Oryctolagus cuniculus: one gene and its partner. The protein of the gene in region 1 binds, or shares a complex with, the protein of each later gene. Links are inferred from orthologs where the notes say so. Each region holds a gene or a part of one and is shown in the gene's direction. Other genes may lie near its edges.

The links. Proteins that work in one complex are often made in the same cells at the same time.
Region 2: the proteins of CDK4 (region 1) and CCND3 are in contact, whole or in part, in a crystal structure (PDB 7SJ3), measured with the Homo sapiens proteins. The link is inferred for Oryctolagus cuniculus from reciprocal best matches to the Homo sapiens genes CDK4 and CCND3. Residues at the interface, in NP_000066.1 of Homo sapiens: Gly46, Gly47, Gly48, Leu49, Ile51, Thr53, Val54, Arg55, Val57, Ala58, Leu59, Arg61, Arg62, Glu64, Ala65, Phe66, Val77, Ala79, Val89, Asp129, His132, Ala133, Asn134, Cys135, Arg163, Ile164, Tyr165, Ser166, Tyr167, Gln168; in NP_001751.1 of Homo sapiens: His11, Pro13, Arg14, Ala15, Gly16, Pro17, Asp18, Arg20, Leu21, Arg26, Val27, Ser30, Leu31, Arg33, Leu34, Arg37, Tyr38, Glu74, Lys112, Leu113, Arg114, Glu115, Thr116, Pro118, Ile121, Glu122, Pro134, Arg138, Glu141, Val142.

Annotation. Positions count from the first base shown.
Region 1 is NC_091442.1:60,322,261-60,326,417, reverse strand, and holds the start of CDK4 (cyclin-dependent kinase 4), read left to right. Parts: upstream 1-1,909; 5' UTR 1,910-1,914; coding exon 1,915-2,162; intron 2,163-2,616; coding exon 2,617-2,853; intron 2,854-3,006; coding exon 3,007-3,142; intron 3,143-3,259; coding exon 3,260-3,427; intron 3,428-3,584; coding exon 3,585-3,694; intron 3,695-3,933; coding exon 3,934-3,984; intron 3,985-4,121; coding exon 4,122-4,157.
Region 2 is NC_091436.1:127,963,184-127,967,340, forward strand, and holds the start of CCND3 (G1/S-specific cyclin-D3), read left to right. Parts: upstream 1-1,593; 5' UTR 1,594-1,755; coding exon 1,756-1,953; intron 1,954-2,752; coding exon 2,753-2,968; intron 2,969-4,157. UniProt on the Homo sapiens protein: Regulatory component of the cyclin D3-CDK4 (DC) complex that phosphorylates and inhibits members of the retinoblastoma (RB) protein family including RB1 and regulates the cell-cycle during G(1)/S transition.

The DNA of each region.
Region 1 (4,157 bases):
GTGGGAGCCTTGGCCCTGCGAATCAATCCACACGTGTTTTTTCTGCCTTGCACTTATGTCCTTTCTCCATCTCCTCCCCTTTGCAAAGCTGAGGGAAAAGGGATTTCAGGGGAGCCCACTGGGTCAAACACACTGGGAGAGGATTAATTAGTCAAAGAGTAATTAACAGGAGAAGGGAGGGGATGGAGCCAGGGACAGACCGCCAAATTAAGACTCCCCAATAGGAAGTGCTAGACAGTCGTGATCTTGGGAAGAATTCAAATGTTTTGGATGGACAAATGGATGAACCAGGAAAAGGTGCTGGGACCCAAGTGCCCATACAGGAAAGATGGCTGTGTTCGCAGCCCAGTGACCCGCAGAGGGCTTCCGTGGAAGATGGAGGCGAAGTGAGGACTGCTGATGGGCAAGAGAGCTCGACAAACTCCCACTTAGCCCAGGCTCTGGAAGGCTCACAGACCAACCAGCCCCTGCTTGGTAGCCATTGAAACCTTCACCTCTCCAGCCTCTTCGTTCGGATCTTGAAGTTTTCCTTACTGGTGTCCCAGCTGCCCTTGTAGCCAGGGCCCAAGCGTCGCAAGTATCCGAAGTGGAATGGGCACTGACATACTTCCATCTTGCCCTGACTCATGTGAACTCATCTTCAGGTCGGAACTCTTACATGACCACCAGAGTTGAGAACAGAACTTAGGGTGCAAGGAGTGGCAAATAGGGTAATAAAATGCTTACAGATTTTAGACAATTTCTCACAGACAAGATGCTCAATCTCTTTACTCCCATGTCCTCAAAGAGCTGGGAGATAAAGAAGTTGGAGCCAATAAGATAAGAAATCTACCTGTGTCTAGGTGTCTGTAGGCAGAGGCTATTTGGGAAAGGCTGTGTTCAGGGCGGTGATGAGCGCTAAGAAGGTGGTGTCTGGGGAAAAGAAAGCACAAGGCCCCCGAGTGAGTTACAAGGTTGGCAGGAGGCCAGAAGTCAATCTCGTGTATAGCAGTGGCCTGGGATGTTGGTGATGGTTATGGTGATCCCTCTACCTATTCATCTGAGGACAAAGGACACACATATCACATAGCACACACACACACACACACACACGCATCCACATATCACAGATTTGTAAACTCAACGCTGAAAAGAACCTTCAAGATCAAAGCCGATATTCCTGCCTCCTGCTCATCAATAACTTCTCTGCCTGACAGCACCCAGTCTATTGTAACACTCCCAGAGAGGGCTGGAAGCAGCCCGGACCGGGAAGAGAGGCAAGCACTACCTTGCCACAATTCCTGTTGGATTACTCTATTAACCTGCCTTCCACCCCTCTTCTAATTCCAGTCTGCCCTCAGATGGGCATTGTCTACTCCCTATAGGACCACATTTTATATACAGCCTTACCACTACTCCTAAGAGCCAGTGACGCAGACACCAAAACAAAACCCCACACACACACTGCAAGCAAGCGCTCAATGCAATTTTGTTGAATGAATGAGTGAAACAAAGACACAAATCCGATTGTTTTCCCACGGCCGCGGAGCCGTAAGGTGACAGCCCCACCTGCCACCGCCGACGCCCCTGCCCCCACCTCCCGCCAGCGTGGAGAGGCTGCGAGGCCAGCAGCCGGCCAGGAGCTCGGGTGCTCTGCCCTCAGCGTGGAGTCGGGAGCCGGGTGGCCCAGGTTGCCATGGCACCGCCTCGGACTCCACCCTCTCCCGTTCCCCCTCTCCCACCCCACCTCCCTGGCGCTGAGGTTATGGCAGCCAGTCACGTGCCCCGCCGCGTAACCACACCTCTGCTCCTCAGAGCAATGTCAAGCGGTCACGTGTGATAGCAACAGGTCACGTGGCTGGCATCCCCCCTCCGCCCCCTTTCCCCTCAGGGCCCCCCTCCCCGTCCAAGCCCAGCTCGGCCGCCCCTCTGCGCATGGGTGGCGGTCACGTGTCCCGAACGTCCGGCGCCCGCCCCGCCCTCCCAGTTTCCGCGCGCCTCTTTGGCAGCTGGTCACATGGTGAGGGTGGGGGTGAGGGGGCCTCTCTAGCCTGCGGCCTATGTCTATGGTCGGGCCCGGAGCGTCCAGGTGCCCAGGACCGAGCTCGGGTGTATGGCGCTGGAGGAACCAGCTCCGGGGCCCCGATAACGGGCCGCCCCTGCACCTCCCAGCCTGGAGTGAGGTAAGTGCAGCCCCTGCCCCCACTGGGGGCCAGTCCCGCCGCCGCCCCCTCCCCCCACAGCCGCTTCCCATGCGTGCGCTTCGCAGGCGATTTATGGGAGGGTCGCCCGCGGGCGAGAAGTGGGGCTTTTGTGGACGTGGGAAGGTGTAATTTCGGGGACCGGGGTGCGGGATCCTCGGCGCCAGGCGTGTGTATGTGTGTGATCTCCTTTGTGCTGGATGCGATGTTCCCAAAGGAAAGGGGGCTTTTACAAAGTGTGCGGCCTCACGTGGCTGGAGGGGTCGCTGTTGGAGTCATTGTTACCTGAGGCGCGGCGCGGCGGGCGGTCGCGGAGGGCGCGGGGTGCAGGTGGGGCCGTCTGTGCCATCCGTGTCGGAATCACTTTGTCCGCTGCCAGCTCAGGCCATCCCAGCTCTGGGAGAGCATGTGGTGCAGGGAATCTCTGTGTTCCTAGGGTCAACCCTGATCTGAGAATGGCTACCTCTCGCTACGAGCCTGTAGCTGAAATTGGTGTCGGTGCCTACGGGACGGTGTACAAGGCCCGGGACCCCCACAGTGGCCACTTTGTGGCCCTCAAGAGCGTGCGAGTCCCCAATGGAGGAGGCGCTGGAGGGGGCCTTCCCATCAGCACTGTTCGCGAGGTGGCTTTACTCAGGCGGCTGGAGGCCTTTGAGCACCCCAATGTTGTCCGGTGAGAGGAAGGTGCAGGGCCCGGAGTGGGCAGTCCAGGCAGGGGGGCTGTGGTGGTCAGGAGAGAGGTGGGGATCCTGGGGAGGTACACGATGAGGAGGCCATAGGGGAGTCAGAGGATCCTAGCTAGCGAGGGACCATTTGTTCTGGCCAGGCTGATGGACGTCTGTGCCACCTCCCGAACCGACCGGGAAATCAAGGTGACCCTGGTGTTTGAGCACGTCGACCAAGACCTAAGGACGTATCTGGACAAGGCACCCCCACCAGGCCTGCCGGCAGAGACCATCAAGGTAAAGGGCGGGGGCGGACACGGGGAGGTGGGTTGGGACCTTCTAGCAGAAGCCCTGGGCATTTCAGGCCTAATGCCTGGTTTCTTGTGTGTCTGTTTTTTTTCCCTTGCAAATCAGGATCTGATGCGCCAGTTTCTTAGAGGCCTGGATTTCCTTCATGCCAATTGCATCGTCCACCGAGACCTGAAGCCAGAGAATATTCTGGTGACGAGCAGCGGGACGGTCAAGCTGGCTGACTTCGGCCTGGCTAGAATCTACAGCTACCAGATGGCGCTTACACCTGTGGTCAGTAGAAAGATGTGGTAGCCAAAAATGGGCTCTGGTTGGGGGTAGGAGAAGGATTGCCCATAGCAGCTGAGAAATCATACTTTGTCCTTCCATCAGGCACTGGTGCTTCCCGGAAGCCCTGGGGGCCCTCACCTACTCTCGCTGTTTCCCTTAGGTTGTGACGCTCTGGTACCGTGCTCCTGAGGTTCTTCTGCAGTCTACATATGCCACGCCTGTGGACATGTGGAGCGCTGGCTGTATCTTTGCAGAAATGTTTCGTCGAAAGTATGGGACCCAAGTTCCCTGCACAACCTGAGTCCCCCGCCTTGTGCAGGAGCCACATGCATGCCTTGGCCATTTTTGTACTTGGGTGCTGTTCACCATCTTGCCCGTAACCAGCTCTGAGACGGAATCAGAGACTTCACATGCCTTTATTCCCCACACCCTCTAAGTCCCACTAAGCAGGACTCATGCCACCGCTGTCTCTGAAAGTGACTGCCACCTTGTATTCCTTCTCGCTCTAGGCCTCTCTTCTGTGGAAACTCCGAAGCCGACCAGCTGGGCAAAATCTTTGAGTAAGTGACCAGCCAGGGGGCAGAGAATTTTCCATTCTGAGTCCTCTCTCTGCTGAACTCGGAGTTAACCCACTGGCTCTGCCTGGGGACGGGAGCTGGAGAAGGACCCCTGTGACAGAGCTTTCGTGTCTCCCTAGCCTGATCGGGCTGCCTCCGGAAGACGACTGGCCCCG
Region 2 (4,157 bases), on another chromosome or scaffold:
TAAAAATGTATGTTTAACCATAGAGCAAAGATTAGAAAAATAAACTGACATTTTAAAGAATTATATCTGGATGATGAAATTGAAAGTGAACAGTGATTATGATTTTCCCCTTTTTGTGGCTCATCTCTGTTTTCTAAGTTTCCATAATGCAAAAGAATATTTCCATGATATGAAAGCTACAAGAATTTTTTTCTAATAAAGAGACCGATTCTCAGAGAGAACATGTGACTTGTCTATACACTGTCATTTCTCTAGTTACCCACGTCCTTGGTATCTCCTAAGTTGGGAGGACCCCAAGGGAGGAAGGGATCCCCATGCGTCCTCCCGTCCGGAACATTTCTGTAAGTCTGTGGTCTGCCTCTTAGTCATATGGAATCCAGCCTCTGAGAACACTGCACAGCGACCCAGCGTCTGGGAGGTGAGAGAAGTGGCAGCGGGGAGAGCTTGCAGCCTGCGTGGTCAACTCCTTGAGGCAGGAGCCAGCCCCCACCCCCATGTTTGCTCCAAGCAGAAACTAAGGCCACACAATCAATTTAATGACAAGGTGAGGCCTTGAATCCATGGCCTTTCTGCCCTGTTGCATTTCTGTATTAAGCTGGTTAGACCGAAGCTTTTCAGACTTCCAAGTGCACAGGAATGCAGTTAAAATGCAGATTCGGACGTGGCTGGCCGGTGGTGGGCCTGAGAAACTGCGCTTCTCACCGGCCCAGCCTCCCCCCTACCCCCGGGGTGGGGGTGGGGGTGTGGAGGGGGTGCTGATGGTGCCGGCCCCGCAGTGCCGGATTCCGGAGCCGGAGGGCCTGGGACTGTCTGCCTGATGTTGCGGTTCCTGTGCCTCCTTTTCCTCAAATTTATAAAATAAGCCTAATACCTATCTGATGGTGTTTTAGCAAAGGCTTTCTAAGTTACTGGGGCCGCCGCCTGCGACCCCAGCATTCCATAGGAGGCTGCTCCACTCCCCATCCAGCTCCCTGCTAATGGCCTGGGAATGCTGCGGACTATGGCCCCTGCAACCCACGTGGGAGACCAAAAACGGAGTTACAGGCTCGTGGCTTGGCCTGGCCCAGCCTCAGCTTTTTGCGGCCATTTGGGGGAGTAAACCAGCGGGTGGAAGATCTCCCCACCCCCGGTCTCCCCCTCTTTCTGTAACTGCTTTTCAAAGAGAGTTAAAAAAAAAAAAAGATTGAATACGTTATTTCACATGAATGCTTCAAACAGCATTCATTAAAAACTATGATTACATTCCGTGGAGCAAGCGGCTGTTGAAGCTGTTTGACGAATGACTGAATGATTAACCTTTGCAAAGAAGTCGCTTCCTGGGTGACTGCAATCCGAGAAGCAAAATGGAAAGGCCCATTGACGGGGAAAGAGGCCCACCTCCCAGAAAGTTCACTCGGCCGGGCGGTCGGGAGCGCCCGGGCCCGGAAGCCGGCCGGCCTGCGCCGCGCGGGCCAATGGGGCCGCGCCGGGGGCGGGGAGAGCGCCCCGCCAGCCCTTTCCGTCTGGGGCGCCGGCGGCCCCGCCCCTTGGAACGTTGCGACGTCCGAGCATTCCACGGTTGCTACATCGTCGCGAGGGGCGGGGCGCCTGTCAGGGAAGCGGCGCGCGCGCGGGCGGCGGGCGGGCCGGGGCTGCACCGCGCAGTGCCAGCGCCAGCGCCAGCGCCAGACCCGTGCGCCACGCTCTGCGGTCCGCCGCCCGCGTCCCCGCTCGCGACTTCGCGCTCCTGCCCTTGCCCGTGCGCTGTCTTTGAGAATGGAGTTGCTGTGCTGCGAGGGCACCCGGCACGCGCCCCGGGCCGGGCCGGACCCGCGACTGCTGGGGGACCAGCGTGTCCTGCAGAGTTTGCTCCGCCTGGAGGAGCGCTACGTGCCCCGCGCCTCCTACTTCCAGTGCGTGCAGAGGGAGATCAAGCCGCACATGCGGAAGATGCTGGCGTACTGGATGCTGGAGGTACCGCCCGGACGCCCCCCACCCCACCCTCGCTGCCCCCCACCGCTGGACCTGCGGGGGCCGCCCTGTCGGAACATCTAGGGCCCCACGCCGCTCTGCAAGATGCTTCGGCGGCCGCGACCCTCGGGGCCTGGCCTTTCCGGCTGTCTCCGCTGTGTCCCCGTCCCCTCCCTGACCCTGATATGTTCCTTCCGACCGGCACGGCCGGTTATGGGCACCCTGGCCCAGCCTCTGCTCGAGCCGGCCGTCCCCTCCACGGCCCCTGCTCCCCCCAACCCCCACCCCGCCCGGTCTTCTCGGTTCCTGCGTGTGTCGCGGGGTGCTGGCTGGGGGTGGGGTGGCGCGCCCGTTCCGGCCCGACGGGGAAGGAGACTGTGGGAGACGGCGGCTGGAGCCTCCTTCCTTCCCCTTGGGTGTGTGCGGTGGGTGGTGGTCGCCGGGGGCAAGGCTCTCCTCTGGCAGCCACGGGCGACCCTTCCTGCCCCTTCGCCTCGCTGTGGGGGAGGGGAATCACTGTTTGGGATTCCTCCCAAGGAAGGGCGCCTTTGCTTTGCCACCCCCTCCAGGGCAGAGGGGAGGAGGCGACTCAGAGGAAACGGGCGGGGGGGGGGGGGCGGCGTCGCCGTGGGGAGGGTGCATCCTCTCGTTACTGGTCCTTGTCACTGTAAGCCGCTTACCCTCTCTCGTGGCCGTGCGCCCCATTCCACTTCCCTTCGGCGCCCCCACCCCACCCCACCCTCTTCCTGCCGCCTCGTTTCCCATGCTCCTGCCCCGTCCGTGACAGTTCGTGCTCCCCCAGGTGTGCGAGGAGCAGCGCTGTGAGGAGGAAGTCTTCCCCCTGGCCATGAACTACCTGGATCGCTACCTGTCCTGCGTCCCCACCCGAAAGGCGCAGCTGCAGCTCCTGGGTGCGGTCTGCATGCTGCTGGCCTCCAAGCTGCGCGAGACCACGCCCCTGACCATCGAAAAACTGTGCATCTACACCGACCACGCTGTGTCTCCCCGCCAGTTGCGGGTGCGTGTGCAGCTGCCCCTGCGCCCCCCACCCCCACCCCCGCACAGGCTGTCTCCCCACTTCCCAGGGAAAGGAAAGCCAAGACTCCAGAGGCTTTCAGCCCTGCCCTGGGGAGGGAAGGGGTTAAGGCATATGGATGCTTTTCGGGAAAGGAACCGGGGTGGAACTGCAGATGGGGCAGTGTGGTGTGGTGGTCAGGGTGGCTTCTGCCCTGGCCTCCAGGGGGTGCCACTGCTTCCTGGTCTTTCCCCCAGATAGCAACAAGTGAAGCTGCGTGTCTGCACTCACTAGTTCTTCGCCTCTGGGTTTACACAGTCACCATGAGTTATTTATTGGCAGCACAGGGCATGCCTGCACACCCCCACTGGACTGGGGGTGTGGAATGTGCTCCTGTGGGGGAGGGGGCTGCCTGCGGTGAGCTTTTTTTTTTTTTTTTTTTTTTCCTCCTCCTGTGGACTTTGTGATAGAAAAGCCTCCCGGAGCAGATTAAAGCCAGGCCCTGGCCGCTCTGAGGAGGTGTTCCTCCCACCTTCTTTCCTTCCCCTCGCGTCCCCAGGGAGACAGTGCCTGCCCTAATCCTCCCTTCCTTGTCCTCGTGCTGAGGAACTGGAGCAGCTGCTTTGGGCCTGGTGGACACATCTCTCTGCCTTTCCCCCTTAGCCAAAGGCCCTTGCCCAGGCAGGGAGCTGAGCTGCAGCTGCTTCCCATGTGATAACGATGCCCCCTCCCCCGGCCCGGCCCTCTGACCAAGGTCTTTCATAACCCAGTGGGGAGTTGCTGTCACTCCTGTGGGTTGGGAAGTGGCTCCCCGGGCCCCTCCACTGGTCATCGGTTCTGCTTGGCCTGGGGAGGAGGCGGGGGAGCTGTTTGGATCTGGAAGAGGTTATTTTAGGGCCCACGGATCATCTCCTAAGGGGCTGGGGGAGCGGGTGGGGGGAGCTGGCACCTTGCTCCGTGGCCAGCCAAGTCTTCTCCTGACCCTGAGAGGAGTCTCTGGGCCCCATCTCCCGGGGAGGAGGGCAGCCAGTAGGCTGCTGTGATTGGCTGGCGGGGCAGCAAGGGTACTGGGGCCCCCGACTGCTGCGAGTCGAGGAACTGGATTCCTCTTCCTGCCAAGTAGCTCTGAGAGATGGGAGCAGGAGGCCGGAGTTGGGAGTCCGGGAGGCCCCACAGCTCTTTGTGATGAATC